3 linked regions of the Caenorhabditis elegans genome follow. The protein of the gene in region 3 purifies or fractionates together with the protein of the main gene of each other region. This does not show direct contact. Each region holds a gene or a part of one and is shown on either strand. Other genes may lie near its edges.

The links.
Region 1: the proteins of pcdr-1 (region 3) and tnt-2 fractionate together in Caenorhabditis elegans (co-fractionation; one large-scale study listed by BioGRID). This does not show direct contact.
Region 2: the proteins of pcdr-1 (region 3) and cdh-7 fractionate together in Caenorhabditis elegans (co-fractionation; one large-scale study listed by BioGRID). This does not show direct contact.

Annotation. Positions count from the first base shown.
Region 1 is NC_003284.9:8,720,960-8,725,458, reverse strand, and holds tnt-2 (Troponin T), read left to right. Parts: upstream 1-1,908; 5' UTR 1,909-1,916; coding exon 1,917-1,939; intron 1,940-2,037; coding exon 2,038-2,245; intron 2,246-2,469; coding exon 2,470-3,054; intron 3,055-3,133; coding exon 3,134-3,405; intron 3,406-3,450; coding exon 3,451-3,598; intron 3,599-3,644; coding exon 3,645-3,695; 3' UTR 3,696-3,913; downstream 3,914-4,499.
Region 2 is NC_003280.10:14,841,121-14,846,200, forward strand, and holds the start of cdh-7 (Cadherin domain-containing protein), read left to right. Parts: upstream 1-2,056; 5' UTR 2,057-2,207; coding exon 2,208-2,262; intron 2,263-2,706; coding exon 2,707-2,801; intron 2,802-4,068; coding exon 4,069-4,215; intron 4,216-4,263; coding exon 4,264-4,629; intron 4,630-4,832; coding exon 4,833-5,080.
Region 3 is NC_003284.9:15,664,697-15,672,776, forward strand, and holds pcdr-1 (Melatonin receptor pdcr-1), read left to right. Parts: upstream 1-2,064; 5' UTR 2,065-2,229; intron 2,230-2,730; 5' UTR 2,731-2,757; coding exon 2,758-2,916; intron 2,917-4,730; coding exon 4,731-4,915; intron 4,916-5,087; coding exon 5,088-5,214; intron 5,215-6,592; coding exon 6,593-6,748; intron 6,749-6,798; coding exon 6,799-6,951; intron 6,952-6,998; coding exon 6,999-7,175; 3' UTR 7,176-7,674; downstream 7,675-8,080.

The sequences.
Region 1 (4,499 bases), 6.9 Mb from region 3:
TATTCCAAAAAAAAAAATCTTAAAAATCGGATTGTCTAAAAACCAAAAAACTTGGAATATTTTCTTTGTTTTGAAATCATTTATTTATCAATCAAAAAACTATGCGCAAGTGATAATCATCACTTATTTGTTGATACTGTTGAACAGTTTCCAGTGTGCCAAAAAACTGAACAGGTAAGAACTGAACAGAACTATAAAAAATTACGGATTCATAGACAGAAAGCGGGGAAATTCAAATTCATGACAAGGCAGGTTTTATTTCTCCATAATCAATCACAGCGCAACGGCTCACGTGTGTTGCGGCAACGAGTAACTCGATATTTATGTTTTCTCGTTTTCCTGAGAAAAAAAAACGCAAAACAAAAATCTAGGTAGTTTATCAAAAGCATCACTGGAAAGTTTAAATAAATGACATTACAAATACATATTTCAATTTGTGCTCATCGTGAGATTGAGCAATCGTCGCACAAACAACACAATCACATAAAGCGTGAAGAGAACAAGATGATAGAAGGATTGAAACTATTTCGAGAAAACCGATTTGTAGAAAAAATCGTTAAGATTTCAAAGGCATTAAGATTCAATAAGGTGATATCGAGAATAGAGAGTATGTAAAAAACGCCTTCCTAAATTAAAAACTGCAAAAAACTCAGAAGTTACATTAATCCTTTATCAATTTATTAAATGAACTAAAGCATATGCAATTAGTGATATAATAAAATTTTATGCAAAGTCCATTAAAACACATTTGCTGCAGAAACCAATGCAGATCATAAATGTTAATTAAATTGTTCAATACAACAACTTTAAAAGATCCAGCAAAAATCTGATTTCTGTAAAAACCAGAAAGTTTGATATTTTGAGCATATATTGTCAAATTCAATTGCTTGAAACATTTGAAATCGATGGTGTAATAAGATTTCAAGCAACTAGTTTGGATAGATTTTTGAAACCAAATATGGTATTGCACTCCAATTAATCTGAGATTGTTCTTGTCATATTGATTCAAATCACATTATAGGCTTTTTTCTACAAATACACATTTTTCAACATTACCTTGTTTCCCATGAACATTATTGTTGAATTTCTGTTCCGAATATATCATTAAAAACACGATGAGTGTAATCCAAGTCCCTGGATTTTCTGTCAGCCCTTGCTTAGAACACAACTCGCTGTTCTTAAACTTTTTCTCATTTTTTGTTTTCTGTCTCTCACCGAAACATCACAATCCCCCGTATCTCTAGGCCATGTGGTGACGGAAGATTTATTCCGGACTAAGCGACGAGTCGCGGGAGCCCGTGGAGAACCAGAAGACTAGAGATAGCAAAACCCAAAAAGTTGTTTGTTGTCTTCTTCTTCCTCGTCGGCTGCTTCTCTATCTTTCAAGAAACAGAAAGCAAGCAGTAATTTGTGCTCTTTTCACTTCTTCTATCTATTTCCTCTTCATGAGGCAAAGTCGCTGCCGTGTGCTCATCGGCAAGGTTTACAACGCACACCTCCGCCTACCCGTCGTTTTTGTTTGGTCCATCTTCTCTTTCGAATCCCGCGAGAGATGTGATCTCTCGGCGCCGGCGGACTCGCTTCGTTACAAGTTACACAACGATAAGGAGAGCAACGGGAAGAGAAGATGAAAAAGAATGGCACCAACGGCCCCGCCCCACAATCCGGGAACTGGATGGCAGGAGGCTCAAGGGGTGGCTTACCGAAACCACACATTTCTATTGTTCATTCCAACTTGGACACAGAAACGGAAGACGTGTTCAGGCAGTTTGTAACTTAGAATTAAGTTTTGGTATTTGAGCAAAATAATTAGTTTTGAATTTTTTTTGTTTTTCGGCTTTACCTACTTTTTTAAAAAATCTTTTACTGTTTTTCTGATAGAAACTTTAAATACTTAAAATTTTTCAGTGATAACCATGTCTGACGAAGAGGAAGTGCTGTGAGTTTTTTGTGATAGTTGCAAAATTTAAAATTTGAAATTTTGGAATCCATAATTTTTATAAATTATCTAATTTACTAAAGTTTATATAATTTAAGTTCCGGTGAAGAGGAGGAGGAAGTAGAAGAGTCCCTGGCCGAGGAGGTCGAGGAAGAGGAAGCCGCCGCCGAAGATGCTGCTGCTGAAGAGGAAGAGCCAGAAGCCGCCGAAGAGGAAGCTCCAGTCGAGGAGAAACCAAAGCCACGTCCACCAGTTCAGGAGGAGAAGCCACCAGCAGAGATGACTGAGGCTGAAGCTGCCATGCTTGTGAGTAATTGGAATTTATGGATATTGACTGAGTAGAAGTATTGAAACAGGGGTGTAAAGGGGTAGATCGAATTTAGAGAAGTAATGGAACATCAGTTATAACTATAGAACTGATTCTGTATTTCTAGAAATATATATTTTGTTTATCATTTTTTCAACAGTCGATTAGAATTGAATTTATCAATCTATTCAAATTGATTCAAGAATATTTTGGAAATTTTTAGGCAGCAAAGAAACGTCACGAGGAAGAGGAAGCCGCCAAGCTTCTTGATTACGAACAACGCCGTGTTCTCGAAAAGGAGCAAATGGAGCAAGAGCTCCGTGAGCTTAAAGAAAAACAAGAGAAACGTCGTGCTGAGCGTGAGGAAGACGAGCGTCAGTTTGCCGAAAGAAGACGTCAAGATGAAGAGAGACGTCGCAAGGACGAGGAAGATCGCAAAGCTAAGGCTGATGCGGAGAAGGCTCGCAAGAACGAGGAGAAGTCCCGTCGTCAGCAAATGATGGCTGGATCATTCGCCGGAGCTGCCGTTGGAGCCCCAGGAGGAAAGAACTTCACTGTTTCCAACAAGGGCGATCAAGCCGCCAACTTCGGAAACCTTGCTCAAGGAGCCAAGGCTGAAGGACTCACCAAAGAACAACAAGAGGACGCCAAGAGAGCTTTTTTGAACGTTGTTTGCAAGGCCCAAGATGTTTCAACACTCATGCCAAACGATTTGAAGGAGAGAATCAAGGGAATTCATGCCCGTATTGTCAAGCTTGAGGGAGAAAAGTACGATTTGGAAAAGAGACGTGAGCGTCAAGAGTACGACGTGAGTAGCTTTTATCGTCGGGTTTAATTTTTTAAATTCATAAATTTCCAAATCTTTCAAACCCAAAAAATTATTTCAGTTGAAAGAGCTCAACGAGCGTCAACGCCAAGTTGCTCGTAACAAGGCCCTCAAGAAAGGACTTGACCCAGAGGAAGCCGCCTCTTCCGTCCATCCACCTAAGATCACCACAGCCTCCAAGTTCGATCGTCAGACTGACAGAAGATCATATGGTGATCGTCGTTACCTCTTCGAAAACCCATTCGTCAAGCCAGCCTACACCCTTGTCCACGGAACATCCCGGCCGCCAGCAGAATGGGGACGCAAAGAGAACGAGGAACTTGAACAGATCAGGTGTGTGTTTAAAGAAAAATGAAAAATATTCGTTCGTTTTTCCAGAAAGAACCTTGAACCACCAAAGTACGTCGAACAAGTGAAAGCCGAGGGAGATGCAGCCAAGCCACCAGTCAACCCAATTCCACTTCAAGTTCCAGATAAGGAGTTTGAAGATGGACCAGTTCAAAGCCAAAATCCAAATGAGGGAGCTGTAAGTACACGATTCATACATTTTCTCTAAACAATATTATTTTCAGGAGGTTGTGATCCCAGATAGTGAAGCTGCTGCCGAGGCCGTTCCAGCCTAAACGCTCCAACCGTCATCATACCCCACCTCATCATCACAAATAAAAAAACGCTGCTGACAATTCTTTCATTTTACCCCTAACTGTTCATTTTCCCCTAATTTTCAAATCCATCTTTGTATTTTAGAGTGTGTTTCAATGCCTTCTTTTACATTTTTGTTCCGGTGTAATCTTCAACAAACCCAATAATAAATACTCTTTTCACCACGATCCCCATCAAAGTTAAAAAGCAAATAGTGATGAAAGAGAAGCAGCGCGCAACAAACAATAAGAAATCTGTTTTCAGCGAATCTGCGGCGGTAAATATTTGAACAGACAGTTCGAAATGCGGAGAATCCTTTGAGTCGTTCTGACGTGAGTCACAGTTTTAGACGGTAGATGCTGATGTTGATGTTTCTTTGAATGAAAGGTTAAACCCACTCAAGCTGACGTTTTATTGATTTATAAACACGAAAAAATCATATTTTCTAGCATTCATGGTCTATTTTTCCTTACCACGAATAACACATTATAGTTTTACATTAATGTTGGAAACCATAGACTTTTTAAAAAATATTTGTGAAAATTTCGTTTTGAAATAACTTTGTAGGTCATTTTTGAAAAAAATTATTTTAAATAATGTAGTTAAAGGTGTATAACGCCAGTGGGGAAATTAATAAAAACCACTTTTAAGGTGCCGAAATTATTAAATATCATACGTTGTAAAACTTTTCGAAATTCGGAAAATTTTTATCATTTTATATTTAGAGTCAAAAAGTGATAATTACGCTCGTTTGAAAGTCGTCAATTAAAATAGAAAATTTTCAT
Region 2 (5,080 bases), on a different chromosome or scaffold from region 3:
AAATCTAACTCAACCTTGAAAATAGGCAATTGAAGTAAAAAGGGAAGGCACGATCGTATTTTTTATATTAGTCTCGCATCCCTCAGTTGAGAAATAGCTTTGCTAGAGGAAATACAGTAAGTTAATATTTTTCCAACGCAGTATAACATTCCAAAATAGATATACCGCCAAACCACAACACGTGTTCGAAAAATGGATATTTCAAAACATCGTTCAAACCACTAAGGTGCAAACACTGCCACTAAACAATAAAACATCAAAAGACTATTTCCAACTTAAATACAGACACCTACAGTAATCCAGTCATGATGACAATTGTCTCCACCTTCTTCTAAGATCAGACATCTTTTCCTTCCCACGTGGTTAGTCACTTAATACGGAATGCAGAGTACGATCGACCGCCTGTTGGGGACAAAATATATTTGCATCATTTTGTTGTTCAGAAATCCGATTGTTTCTGAAAAATACTTTGCCCTTTGTTACCGTATACTTGAAACTTGTCATAATTAAAAATAAGTTATTAGGTTTGAGATATTGAGGTTTGAATGATGATGAATGTTTATGTAGTTTTTACATCATCGAACAAAGTATATATGAATCAGGAACGTGCGGCAAATTCGGCAAATATGCTTATTTAAAATTTTCCGTGCTTGTCAAAATCGGCAATTTTGCCGCACACCCCTGATATGAATATTCCATATTTCTTGCTCTCAGGAGTAATTTGAATAAATCTGTAATAATGCAAAACTTATGGAGACTGTTAGAACATTAGATCCTGCAAAGCTAATTTTGAAATATTCCATATCCTTGGAAAATCGATATGTAACAAAATCTTATATGCCGTTTAAAACCAAAATAAAAATTAAGAATTCATTGTAATTTCCACAAAGTTCTGGCGGCAAGTAGTCTGTGCGAGACTATTAAGAGCTGCGAAAAAAAAATTAATTTGCCCGAGTTTTAAAATTATTAATTCTATAATATTAGTGTGCTACCAAATTCAAAGGTGGAGTAGCACCAAAATTAATGTTGGTTTGAAAAATATACCAAACTTCATTATGTGCGCGGGGAGGCAAACCCTACTTCCATACATCAATTTCTACAGTAGTCGCAATTTTAAATGGGATTTATCTTAAAAACGGCTCAATTAAAAAAGATGCAGGGTGTGCGGCACACGATGTTTTCCGGCAACGGCAAATCGACAAACCGACATTTTGTCGATTCTTGCCGGAAAAAAGCAAGTGGCGAAAATTTTCGGCAAATTGCAGTTTGCATATTTTTTTTAAAAATTTCAAATTTCAATTTTAATCGGCAAAGTTGTATGCATTTTTTAAATGTCTCTACATCTATTTTGAAATAAGCAAAATATCTGAAAATATCTAAAGAAAAGGGGAAAAAATAAAAAGGCACAGTTTTAAGTGTTTCAGTATTATTAAAAAATCCCTCTCAAGACTTCCGACAAATTTATATCCGGCAAACGGCAAATCGGCAATTTGCCAAAATTAGAAATTTCCGGCAAATCGGCAAATCAGCAGTCTGCCGAAAACGAAATTTTTTGTAGATCACAAACGTAGATTTTTCCCTCCTGTGTATGACTTCTCAAAAATTCTCAACAAAATATTTTATGGCGATTTAAAATACACTAAAAAGACCAAATTTTGTAGAATCCAGAATTTTTTTTATATTTTTGTGATTTTAGTTGAGCAAGGAATTGTTTTTGATGGTGTACAGATGCACTACATTCTTTCAACATTTGCACTTTTGAGCAACATTTGATAGAAATTTTTCAGAACAGTTTTTTGAAGACTTTGCTTTATTAGAGCTTCTAATATTGCCTTCTCTGGCTAAAACTGGAAAAAACTTAGACCCCATGTTTCAACCCTCAATAAAAAGGCATCCGTTTCAAACTCTTGTTCCAGATACCATCTCGCCTTCCCCCAAAAAATGTTCCGTGAAAAATTCAACTTCTTTTCTACCAAGTCTCTTCCAACGGCTAGCAGCAAGTATCTGATCTTCTTCACTAGATGACCTATTTCAAATGATTTTTACCGCGGCGCTTCACTCCCTTCTTCCATTTGCCGCCCTTGTTTTTTCTTTCTCACTGTTCTGCACAAGGTTCATTTTCTTTTTCCTGCTTAACTATCTATTGCGGGAAGGTAAAAGAGATACCGGCTGTCGAATAAAAAAAAAGACGGAACACCTGGTGAGGTATGCGGGAAGAAGGCATTTTATTACTACTGTTACTACCTCTTTTGGTTTATGGAGGTGAGATTTTTCAAACTTGTTTTCTAGGCTTCTGTTGTAGGCAGGCACGATTTCATGCCTGCCTGCCTATTTTAAATGTCTGCATTTTTACCTGAACTCGCATAAAATTGTTTGATACTTTGTAAATACTTTGAAGACATGCAGGCAGTTTAGTTTCTCTTTTTGAAATTGTTGTGAATTTATGAATTTTTTGGTCAGAATTTGAAGTTGTAATTTTTTAATGATCTTAGAATGTTCAATTTTTTTTTTGGAAAACTGAACAAATTAAATCAAACATGAAATTTATGGTCTATTCTTCTTGGTAAATGAGATTTTGAAATATTTTAATTTGCCACTCACAATACGTCACAAAACTTTGGCAGCCGACATCTCACGGGTTTGCAAAAAACTTGCAATCGCACTACATTTATATTATTGTTAAGCCCTCATTTCAAATTTTTCCAGACCTCCTTTCAATTCCATCCACAACATTCAAAATACCGAGAAATGCTCAAGAAGGTGATCTTATAATAGGACCCGAGTTTATAAGGGCTTCTGAGGTGAGTTTTAAAAAAGTTAAAAGATACAATTTTTTTTATCTAATGCTGAAATAACTAAATATCCAAGAAAAAAGTTAAACAAGTTTTTGAAATTTTTTTGAGTCAATTTAAATAAACCTAAATTGTGTCCAATTTTCGTGCCGATTTGCCAAAAAAAAAATGTGCCGATTTGCTAAAGATTTTACTGAAAATTTTGATAAATCTTCAAATTGACTATGCAAAATCTCAACTAAAAACTAAATTCTCAATATTGGCAAAAATGTGCGCTTGAAAATGTTTGAGCTTGTAGAAAAATTCTAATAGTAAGACAAATTACGATCCCCTATCCATTAGGTAATTTTTAATCACCTACCTATCACTAATGTTCCAAAACCTTCAAGGCTTAATCACTACCCCACACACACTCCACCCTACCTACTACGCAAACTTGTTGTTTTTGACCCAATTCGCGTGTTCGATTTTTGTCTCACTTGTCCGTCAAGAAAACCATCAAGAGATTCATGAAAGAAAAATTTGATAAGACAAGTGCGGTGATTAATGATTATTGCCGAAACCAAGAAAAAAGACAGAGATAGGAAGTGATTACATAATAGGGTCAATTGGATTATCCAATAGATATCTTAAAGGTCTTAGAGTCATTTTGATGAAATAGCAAAAATAAATTATAAAGAACATATGTATTTTCTGAATTTTAAAAGTTGAACAAGAGGTGGACGGCAAACTTTTTTCTTTGGCGAATCGGCAAAACGGCAAATCGGCACATAGGCAAATTGCCAAAAATCTAAATTTCCAGCAAATAAGCAAATGAGCAAGTTGCAATGAATTAAAATTTCCGGCAAGTCGGCAAATCGGTAAATCGACTAATTGTCGGATATCAATTTGCAGGAAATTTTTTGAGGGATTTTTTCTAAGACGGAAATACTTAAAATTCAAATTCTGAAGTTTCCAGAAAAAATGTGCAAACCACAATTTGCCGAAAATTTTCGGCAAGTTCGGCAAACAGGTAAATTGCCTGTTTGCCAATTTGCCGGAAATTTTCAATTCCGGCAAGTTGCCGATTTGCCTGAAAAATTGTTAGCCGCCCGCCCCTGATTGGAATTGTAGTATTAAATTTTAAAAAACTTCCGAAACTCTAAATTTTATGAGATCACTCGATGATCTAATTATATTAATTTTTACTATGTTAAAAAATACAAGAATTTTTTAAAATACAAGAATTTTTACAAGAATTTTTTTGTAATGAAAGAATTTTTAAAAATTTTTTTAGGACATTGACGAAGCTCTTAACTTAGAGCTTGAAGGCACAAATCCGTCCCCAATTGCAATAAATGGCTCAATAATTGATGCTGGTCAGCCTGTTAAATTCATTTTAGTGAACAAAAATGCATTTGATAGTGGGAAGAGCAAGGTTAAGGTAGGGTTTTTATGTGAAAGAGCCACCTCAAAAATACATTTTTTTTAGCTCCAAGCAATCGGTGTAATCTCCGGCAAAGTTCAAGAAGAGACCATCAATTTTGAGGTTGAAGCTTCCTCGGATCTCCCATCAATTCCAGAAATTTCAAACTTCGTCGTAAAATCTGATTTCCAAGAAAAAGAAACTGCAATTGTGAGAGTAAGCTCACCAATTCCACCGAATTCGGAACTAGACATTCTCGGAAGTTACGCTCAACGAGTCACTGCCACTTTTGAAGACGACAAAATTATTCTGAATACAGTACCATGCCACGCGGACACGCCATGTGAGGTTACGTTTCCGTTTGTGGTGATTTTGGTGCTACGGAATGGGGAGAACCACGTGGAGGCCTTGCTCACTTTTCAAGAGGAAAAGGTAAAATTTCAGAAAGTTTTGAATCAGGGGTGAGCGGCATTTAGCTTTCGGCAAATTTTTTTGGTCGACAAATTTGGCAAATCGGCAAGTTGCCGGTTTGCCGATTTGCCGAAATATAAAATTGTCTGAAGTGTTTAAAGGGATTTTTATAAGATGGAAACACTTAAAATTGTGTCTTTTCTAAAAATCTGTTCTTTTTCCAGAAATCCTCTCTTAAAATGGCCCAAAAACTCTACCAAACCACAATCGAAGAGCACACCGGAGAGCAAGACCATCTCGTGAAAATCTCGACAAAAGGTGGAAGTTCAGAGGTTCTATATTCGCTTCGGGATGCATCCGGCCTATTCTCAATTCATCCGAAAGAAGGAATCCTGTCAATTTTGCATCCGGAATTCCTGTCAATTAGTTCATTTGGAGATACTGTAAATTTGACAGTAGTCGCGACGGACGG
Region 3 (8,080 bases):
AGATTTTTGTGTTTCTCTTACTTTTTTTGTCTCCTTTCGTTTCCCACCATCGGCGGTGCTCTCATTTCCCTATTTAGTTCGGTATTGTTCAAATTGGCCTACTGCCAAGATTTCTGAACTCCCATTCGAAACGTCATTGGAGGTTCCTGTTTCCCACCGAATGGCCAAACCGATTTGTCATTTTTCTTTTCGATCCCCCCTTCTCCATTCTGTCTCACTTCTTTTTCCCAGGAACCTAAAATTTCTATTAAAGCGTGATTCCACTATGAGTCATTTTATTTCTGAAAATTTGGTTATGGCTGAAGCGTGTTTTCAGGGAAAACGTGATAATATAGCATTTTAATTTTCTCAAAGTGAAAAACAAACAAATTTTTCTATTATAATTATCACTTTTATTCATGCTTGTTCGTTTTTCGGGTTTTGTCTTTTCAAAAATCTGATTGTTCTTTTTCTATCATGCTAAAACTATCAAACCTGATAATTTTTTTTCTTTGTAGTTCAAATACGCGGAACAGCTCTGAAATTTGCAGCAAAAAAAAAACCGATAAATTTTCAAATTTTCCATTTATTAATTGAAAATTTTTTTGTGTGTAAACTTTTTAAAGGTGGGGTACCGAAACCTGGGATATATTTTTATTTGACTCCAAATTTTCCCCTGATTCCGAATATCAATGTGAAAAAATGCAAAAAAGGTTTCCTGATTATATAATTAAGCTTGAAATCATGATTTTAATTTGTGCCTCGGTCTCTTTTTTCAAATACGCGCCAAAAGAAATTCACATTGGAGCGCGCTTGCATTTTTTGATTTTCTTAGTTTATTTTATTTATTTTTGCCGAATTCATTTTTTTAAACCAGTGTGATTAATTTTCGTCAAGTTTTCATCGTCGGTTTTTCTCGGAAATTTTTTTTTCGACCAGAATGAATGAAACTGGTTAAAAAAATTGAATTCGATTACAATTCAAACGCGCTCGAATGCGAATTTCTTTGAGCACTAATTTGAAAAAAGAGCCCGAGGCACAAATTAAAATCGTGATTTCCAGTTTAAATATAGAATCAGGAAAATTTTTTTGAATTTTTTACATCTATATTCGGAACCAGGGGAAAATTTTGATCAATTAAAAATATTTCCTAGATTTCGGTACTCCACCTTTAAAATTGTGATAAAGTTTTCAAAACCTTATACAAAAATTTAATTTCTAGATTTTGATTAACGGTAAAGTAACGTAACAAAAAATGTTAGAGTTAAAATTTTTTGTAATTCTTTCAAGTGTTCCATCCTTGTTCTTTCGTTATTCACTGTATTTCCGGTCAGATGTATTAACTGTAATTAGGAATGTTGTAGAAACATCTAAGTCTCCAGATACAGTCCCATTCACTTTTCAAAAAAATACTAATTCCCTAAAAGTTGAAAATTCAACAAAATATGTGGTCATCGCCATTAGTATCAACTTACGAACATTTTGCATTCCAGCCAGCAGATATTCACTTCCTATCCTTCTTCTCCTTTCGCCTTCTTCTCTCACTCGTCTTTCCCCGGCGGTGGTCCGTTTTTGGGCCCCCATCTCTATCCATCTTTTACTCTTCTTTTCCTCTCCCATGTCGCAATCCGTTTTCTTTTCCGAAAACGAAAACGATGTGTCCTTTGTTGGTGAGGCGAGTGAGCCATTTGTGGGGCAGAACGCAAATTGGCTCCTCTCTGATTGTGGCGGGGAGGTCCCACGCTAAATCCGAAAGCCACGACGACCACGACTAGAAGACTCCATCTTATCTTCCTTTGACCAACTATGTCTTCGTGTCTCTTCTGGTGGTGGTGTCCTGGTGCAATGCACAATTTTCTGTGTTACACTCCGGCACATATTCACACTTTTTTTCTATTTACATCCATCATAGGATGTTTCTGAGAACTTCAGCACCTGCCAAACTTGTTTCCTGGTTTGGTTTGAACAGAATTTCTTTGAATATGATTGAATTTCAGTTTGTCAATTCTAGCCAAATTAACCTTTTATTTAAAATTGCCTCTCCCGTTTCTTGCTCGAGCACTTCTCGAAACTCAAAAATTACAGAAAGAACAGCGATAGGGTGGTCGTGCCGGTGTCGAACCAATAATCCGCAACTTTGGCGTCACCTACTTACAATTTGATCTACAGAGTGATAACCAAGACAACATCGAGACTGGCACACCTTCGGTTTTCTCATTGGGGAACCTGAATGGCCTCATTAGGCACAAGGTGAGAAGTTTTTTTTTTTCATACGGTAGTCTAATAAGATTGTGAACTGAAAATTTAAATAAAAATGTGATATACATAAATCACCTGTTCTCATTTTGAGGGTTAAATCGAGGATCTGATGTTTATGGCTAACACATATTCAGCAGCATAAAATTGTATTTCAGAGCCCCTATTTTCTTTGATAGCTGATAAATATCATTTCGGCTAACATGACAAATATTACGAAGTTTTCAAAAAACATCCCAGGACACCTTCGTTAACACAACTGGGTTAACACCACCCTGTATATTTTGAAGCAACAAAAAAAGGCAACACCTTGATGTTTTAAACGAACTCTTCAAAAAACGTTGAAACGAAATTACCATAGTTACACATACACGGCCCATGATTTATTACAACGTGCACTTGAAAAACTTTTCTTTTGAGTAGCTGCCGAGAAATTTCTACTAGATTTTCATTTTTCTTGCTCAACCTCCAGCTTAACCTTTCACAAACTTTCAGGTGGCACTGTGGACGACGAGCCCGAGTATGTGGCCGCCTGTCGATGTTCGCAGTCTGACCGCGGAGTCGTTGGGACGTGCGTCTCTCATCCTCGCCGTCGACTTGCTTCTTTTTGTCACATCGATTCTCAACATCACTGTCATCGCGTTCACCCCGGACTTGTCTGACGTTATCGGATGTTATTTGGTGAGTAAATCCGCTTGAATAAAAAAAAACGCATACAAAAGCAAAAGAGCATAAAAAATTTGCCCCGTTTTCTATTACCATGTCCCCAGTGGCTTCTAAAATCGTTGGCTTTTTCTCCATAAGGTTCTCATTTTTAATGCATCATAAGAAGGAAAAAATCTGTATGTAGTCATTTTTCCAACTTCGTGACTTTTTTGTTGGAAAAACAACTTTTGTTTCTAGTTTGTTGCAAAACAACTTTTGTTTCTAGTTTGTTGCACGTAAACTTTTTTCTCACAAGTTCACAAAAGCTGCAAATTAACGGTCAGCAAATGAGTTTTAAAAATTGAGTTTTTGTTGGTGTTTCGCTCACTGCTAAAGGTAAAAAAACGTCCGTATTTTTTAAAAATTTAAAAGAAATCTTTATCTTTTGAAAATTAGTTCAAACAAACAATAATCTTATTACTTGAGAAAAAACTCTAAACTATTGTTCACAAAGTTTTAAGACCTGCCAATAGTAAGATGTTACCAATTTCAAAACAACTCACTATGGCTCCCATGAGATCACTGCATGTCTTCAAATGTATAGTACGGCGCGGACCCCGAATGTGTCGGTCGCTTCCAAACAATCACCCCAATGGACTACGTTGTGCACACACTCGTTTCACGCCAATCTGCGGAACCCCGAGCTTGTCGGCCGCTCCAAATTACCTTTCGCACTTCACACACACACACACACACACACACACACACACACACACACACACACACACACACACACACACACACACACACACACACACACACACACACACACACACACACACACACACAGCGGCGCGCGGCGTCGGCTTGAGGCCCGCATTTTGCGCCTCAATCACCTGGGAGCCCTACAACTTACTAATCACAGCACTGACCAAAAAATATATTTATTTCTAGCTTTTTGATTTAAAAAAATGTACCTATGAACCAAAGGCGTCACGTGAATTTACATCATTTTTTGCTCATTGTCGTATAGTTCTCACATTTTCATTTTCCTCGTCGATTCTATGTTTTATTCAAGAATTAAAATATAAAAATCTAGCTTGCAATAAAATTTTGTTCAATTCTAGACAAAAATTTTTAAAGAAAGCTGATCTAATATTTCCAACAATTTAGAGCCTAAAGCCCGTAAAATGACGTGATGCAGATCATAAAACCCAATTTCCTCAAATTTAATTCTTCATCTCCTACCCGACTATTCATTTATTTTTCTCCGTTTCCCAATTTCTCAGAACGCTTTGCGTATGATCCATCGCGCGCGCGATGCTTTCATGGCGCAATGCTATTTCATCATGTGTGGCCTCTTAATTTATGTGCAAAAGAAGCATTAAACCTCCTCTCATATATTGCTCCTTGTCGTCTTCTTTTTTTCTGTTTTCTCCAAATGTATAGTCTGCTTTCTAGACAGGAGAGAGGAGATGAATAATTAGGATCAAAATTGAGTTCGGAATTTACAAATTTTAATGGGAAATTATTTGAATAAACTATAATATAAATTTCTTATTTCAAAATGCGGTCATAATCAACTTGCAAAAGCGACCTAACTTGGCACATAGTGTTGATTGTCATTTTTGTGTGTCGGGGGTGTGAATGTTAACGAGATGGAGGTTCTGCATCAGACTCTGAGAAAACCTAAACTGGGTTGAATTCAATTAGGCACACATTTCTGTTTCTGAAGAAAACATTTTGGTGTGAAAAAGTGAGTAGCTGCGCGGGTTTGAACCTCTAAATTCACAACTTGAAAACAGTAATAATATGCAGAACACAATTCTCAATTAATTCTTTATTTCCAGATATCCCTATCAGTGGCGGATTTGCTAACCGCAATCTTCGTCATCCCCCTGAGCATCTATTCAACTTTGGAAGGCAACTGGCGAATCGGTGGCGACAATTCGATCATTTGCAAAAGTGCGGCCTATCTCCAAATTGCACTTTTCTGCTCCACCGTTTACACTTTCGCATGGATATGTATCGATAGGTTGGTTATATAATGACGATTGTATATTTCCTTTTTGGTAAGAACGGAAACGGAAAGCAAAATTGCATGGTGATGACAAATCTACCCTTTTTACACTTGCTCTTTTATACTATATAATATTTAAAAGGGGAACGGAGGAATTATTTGAAAAAAAAAAGAATTTGAATTTTAGGTACTCTGCAATGATGAAGCCATCACGATATAGCGAGCAGTCACTAACTAGGTGCAAGTGTTGGATAGTGTTTAGTTGGTTAACTTCAATGCTTCTATGCTGCCCAATAATTGTTGCAAGAATGCAGGTTAGTATTCGATGATTTCCCGATGGGTTCCAAAATTCATATGTTTTTGAAATTAATTTTCAAAAAAGTAGGTAATATTTCAAAAATAAATTATTACAAATCTGACAATTCATGACGTTGGATAATAAATTATTTTTTAATTAGTCTTGTTATACCATGATATACTAGAATATCAAGACTAACAACAATTTTTCATAGTAATCCCAATGAAATAGTGGCTCTGGGACGCGTCAAGAAAAAAGATTCGACTGCGCTCAATCCACTAGGTTTCCAAATTCTTTTGGTTTTTATGTTAACTGATAGTAAGAAAAAAATAGATGAAAATATGCCAGCTATTAGTTAAACAAAAATGTCTGGTTTCAAACGTTCTCAAATCGTGTTTTCTGTGTGCAGTACTTGGGTTCCCATTTTTTGGGGCACCCTGTAGGAAACGTAAATCTTGCATTTCAAAATCAATTTTCATAGGTCGAAATTGTATTTTTATTTGCAAACATAGGTAGAAAACAATATCCAGCCTATAATGTTGCGTACAACTGACAAATGTCCAGTAGGAATGTACTGTGCGTTTTCAAATTGGAACTGTTTAAGTATGAACGTTAGTGAAAAAGCGAATATTTTTTATTACTTAATGGTGGAGTAGCGCCAGTGGGGAAATTGTTAAAAACCACTTCTTTGGTCCCAAAATGACCAAATATCACAATAAAACTTTTCAAACATTTTTTGAAAATTTTTTATTTACTGTCAAATAGTGACAATTACTCAATTTTCGCCACTCATAATTTTGGAAGTCGTCCAAAAAAAAAATGTTTTTCTACATTTTTTATGCTGTTATTTTGTTTAAATTGTTTGTATTAAATCATTGCAGGGGTCGGAACATGCAAAATTGCTTTGTATTTCCTCGAAAACTCATGTTTTTCAAAATTTTGGCCATTAACCGTTTTTGCCAAAACTTTGACCGGAAATTATGAAAAATCAAAATTTTTTTGCCGTGTTTTATTATGATATTCGGTCGTTTTGGAACATAATAAGTGTATTTAAACTAATTCCCCAATGGCGCTACTCCACCTTTAACAATTAAAATCACTCACAAAAAGGGGCGAATAAAAATTCTGATTCACCTAGAATCTTCAATTTTGTCTATTACTCATTTACTTCAAACATGAAGCCATAGATTTAAGTTTTTTTAAGTTAATGATTATACAAAATGGTACCAAATTTCTGCACTCATCGGCCAATAACTGATCTTAAAATCAATGAAAAAACATGAAATAAACTACCAATATAATATATGATTTTAGGCTAGTCCGACAAGCACAAAATGGTAAAAATTTTAGATTCACCTGCTATTTAACATTTCCAATTCAATTTCATTTTACAGGTTGTGTTCTATCCCGACGCGCAGTTATGTGTCCTGGACTGGTCCGCAACATCTGCATACAGTGTGACCTTACTCCTACTTGTCTTTGTACCAACTTTAGTAACCGTCTTTAACACAGGCTGGAAAATCTGGTCAGCTATGAGAAATCCTGCAGCGGTAAATTTGAAAATCGACTGACTATTGAGGAAAAAAAATTAAATTTTCAGCTTGATGATAGTCAAAGAATGCTCGTGGAAACAGACCCAAACTTTGTATTAACTGGTTTTCTGTTTGTCACATTTTTCTTGTCATGGCTTCCATTGATTACATTGAAGGTGTGCGAATTAATATGGGGCCCATTTGATATGGATTTATCAATGGTAAGTGCAGTCTTAAATCTGAAAAATTAATTTTGAAATGTTTCCAGCTCACATTCTTCTTCGTGTGGTTAGCGGTGTCTGGTCCGTGTTGCAAGTTTTTGATCTACATGTTCACAAATCATCAGTTCCGAAGGTCCTTCCTTTCCTACATTTCATGCTCAATGTGCTGTTCGAGCCGGAGTCGCTATGAATATCATGACATAGGCAACAATTCTTTCCTTTGATTTTTTTTTGATATTTCGATCGGAGTGGTGTTAAAAGTTGAAGTTGGTCGAAAAATGTTTTTCTTTGAGCCTAGCAGTTGCAGTGGCAGAACTGCTTTTATAAAGTAAGAACATTTTCAACCAAAATCGATTTTAATTACACCACTTTGTTATTTCTTCAAATTAACAATTTTCAAAGTTCAATCATTTTCTTCCAAAACGCTCATTTTCAATCTCCAATTTTCTGGTATACAACTTCAGATTCTACAGATCAACTATGATTTTCAATTTATTTTTTTTTAAATTTTTCTTATTTGAATATAAACATTCAAGATTTCTTCTCTTTAAATCTGCCCAAAGTCCCAAGCACTCATCATTTTCTCGGGTTACCAATGAAAGTTCTTATAGGTTTTATTGTGTTCAGATATATATTTTTTCCAATCATTGAGAAAAAGATTCTATATGACTTTATTCGGCTTTTTATTTGTTTTTCTTATTTTTTTATAAAAATTATATTTTGTATTACAATACATTTTATCACTGGAACAAAACCCAAAACCACTCTTAAATAATTGAAAATTGATAATTAATAATACGTTTCGTTTTTCGGTCTCTGAGTTAGATAAAAGCCGCCGTTAGTGTAAGGGGTAATACTGGAGAGGTAATTCAAAAATGTTTATTCTGCCGAAAAATATGTTAAACGACCTATACAGTAAATGACTAGTTATTTTCGGTTTCATCCGTAGAGATGAGTGTGAATGATGTTTGTTGCATCATAAGGAAGTTGTTTAATTAGGTTTCGCATATTAGTTGAAGCTGAGAGCACAAGGAAAGACATCATAAAATAAATTGAAGAAAATTAGAAAAAAAATAAAAGGAAAAATGACGAGAAGGAGGAGAAAGAAAGCCCGCAATAATGCATAACA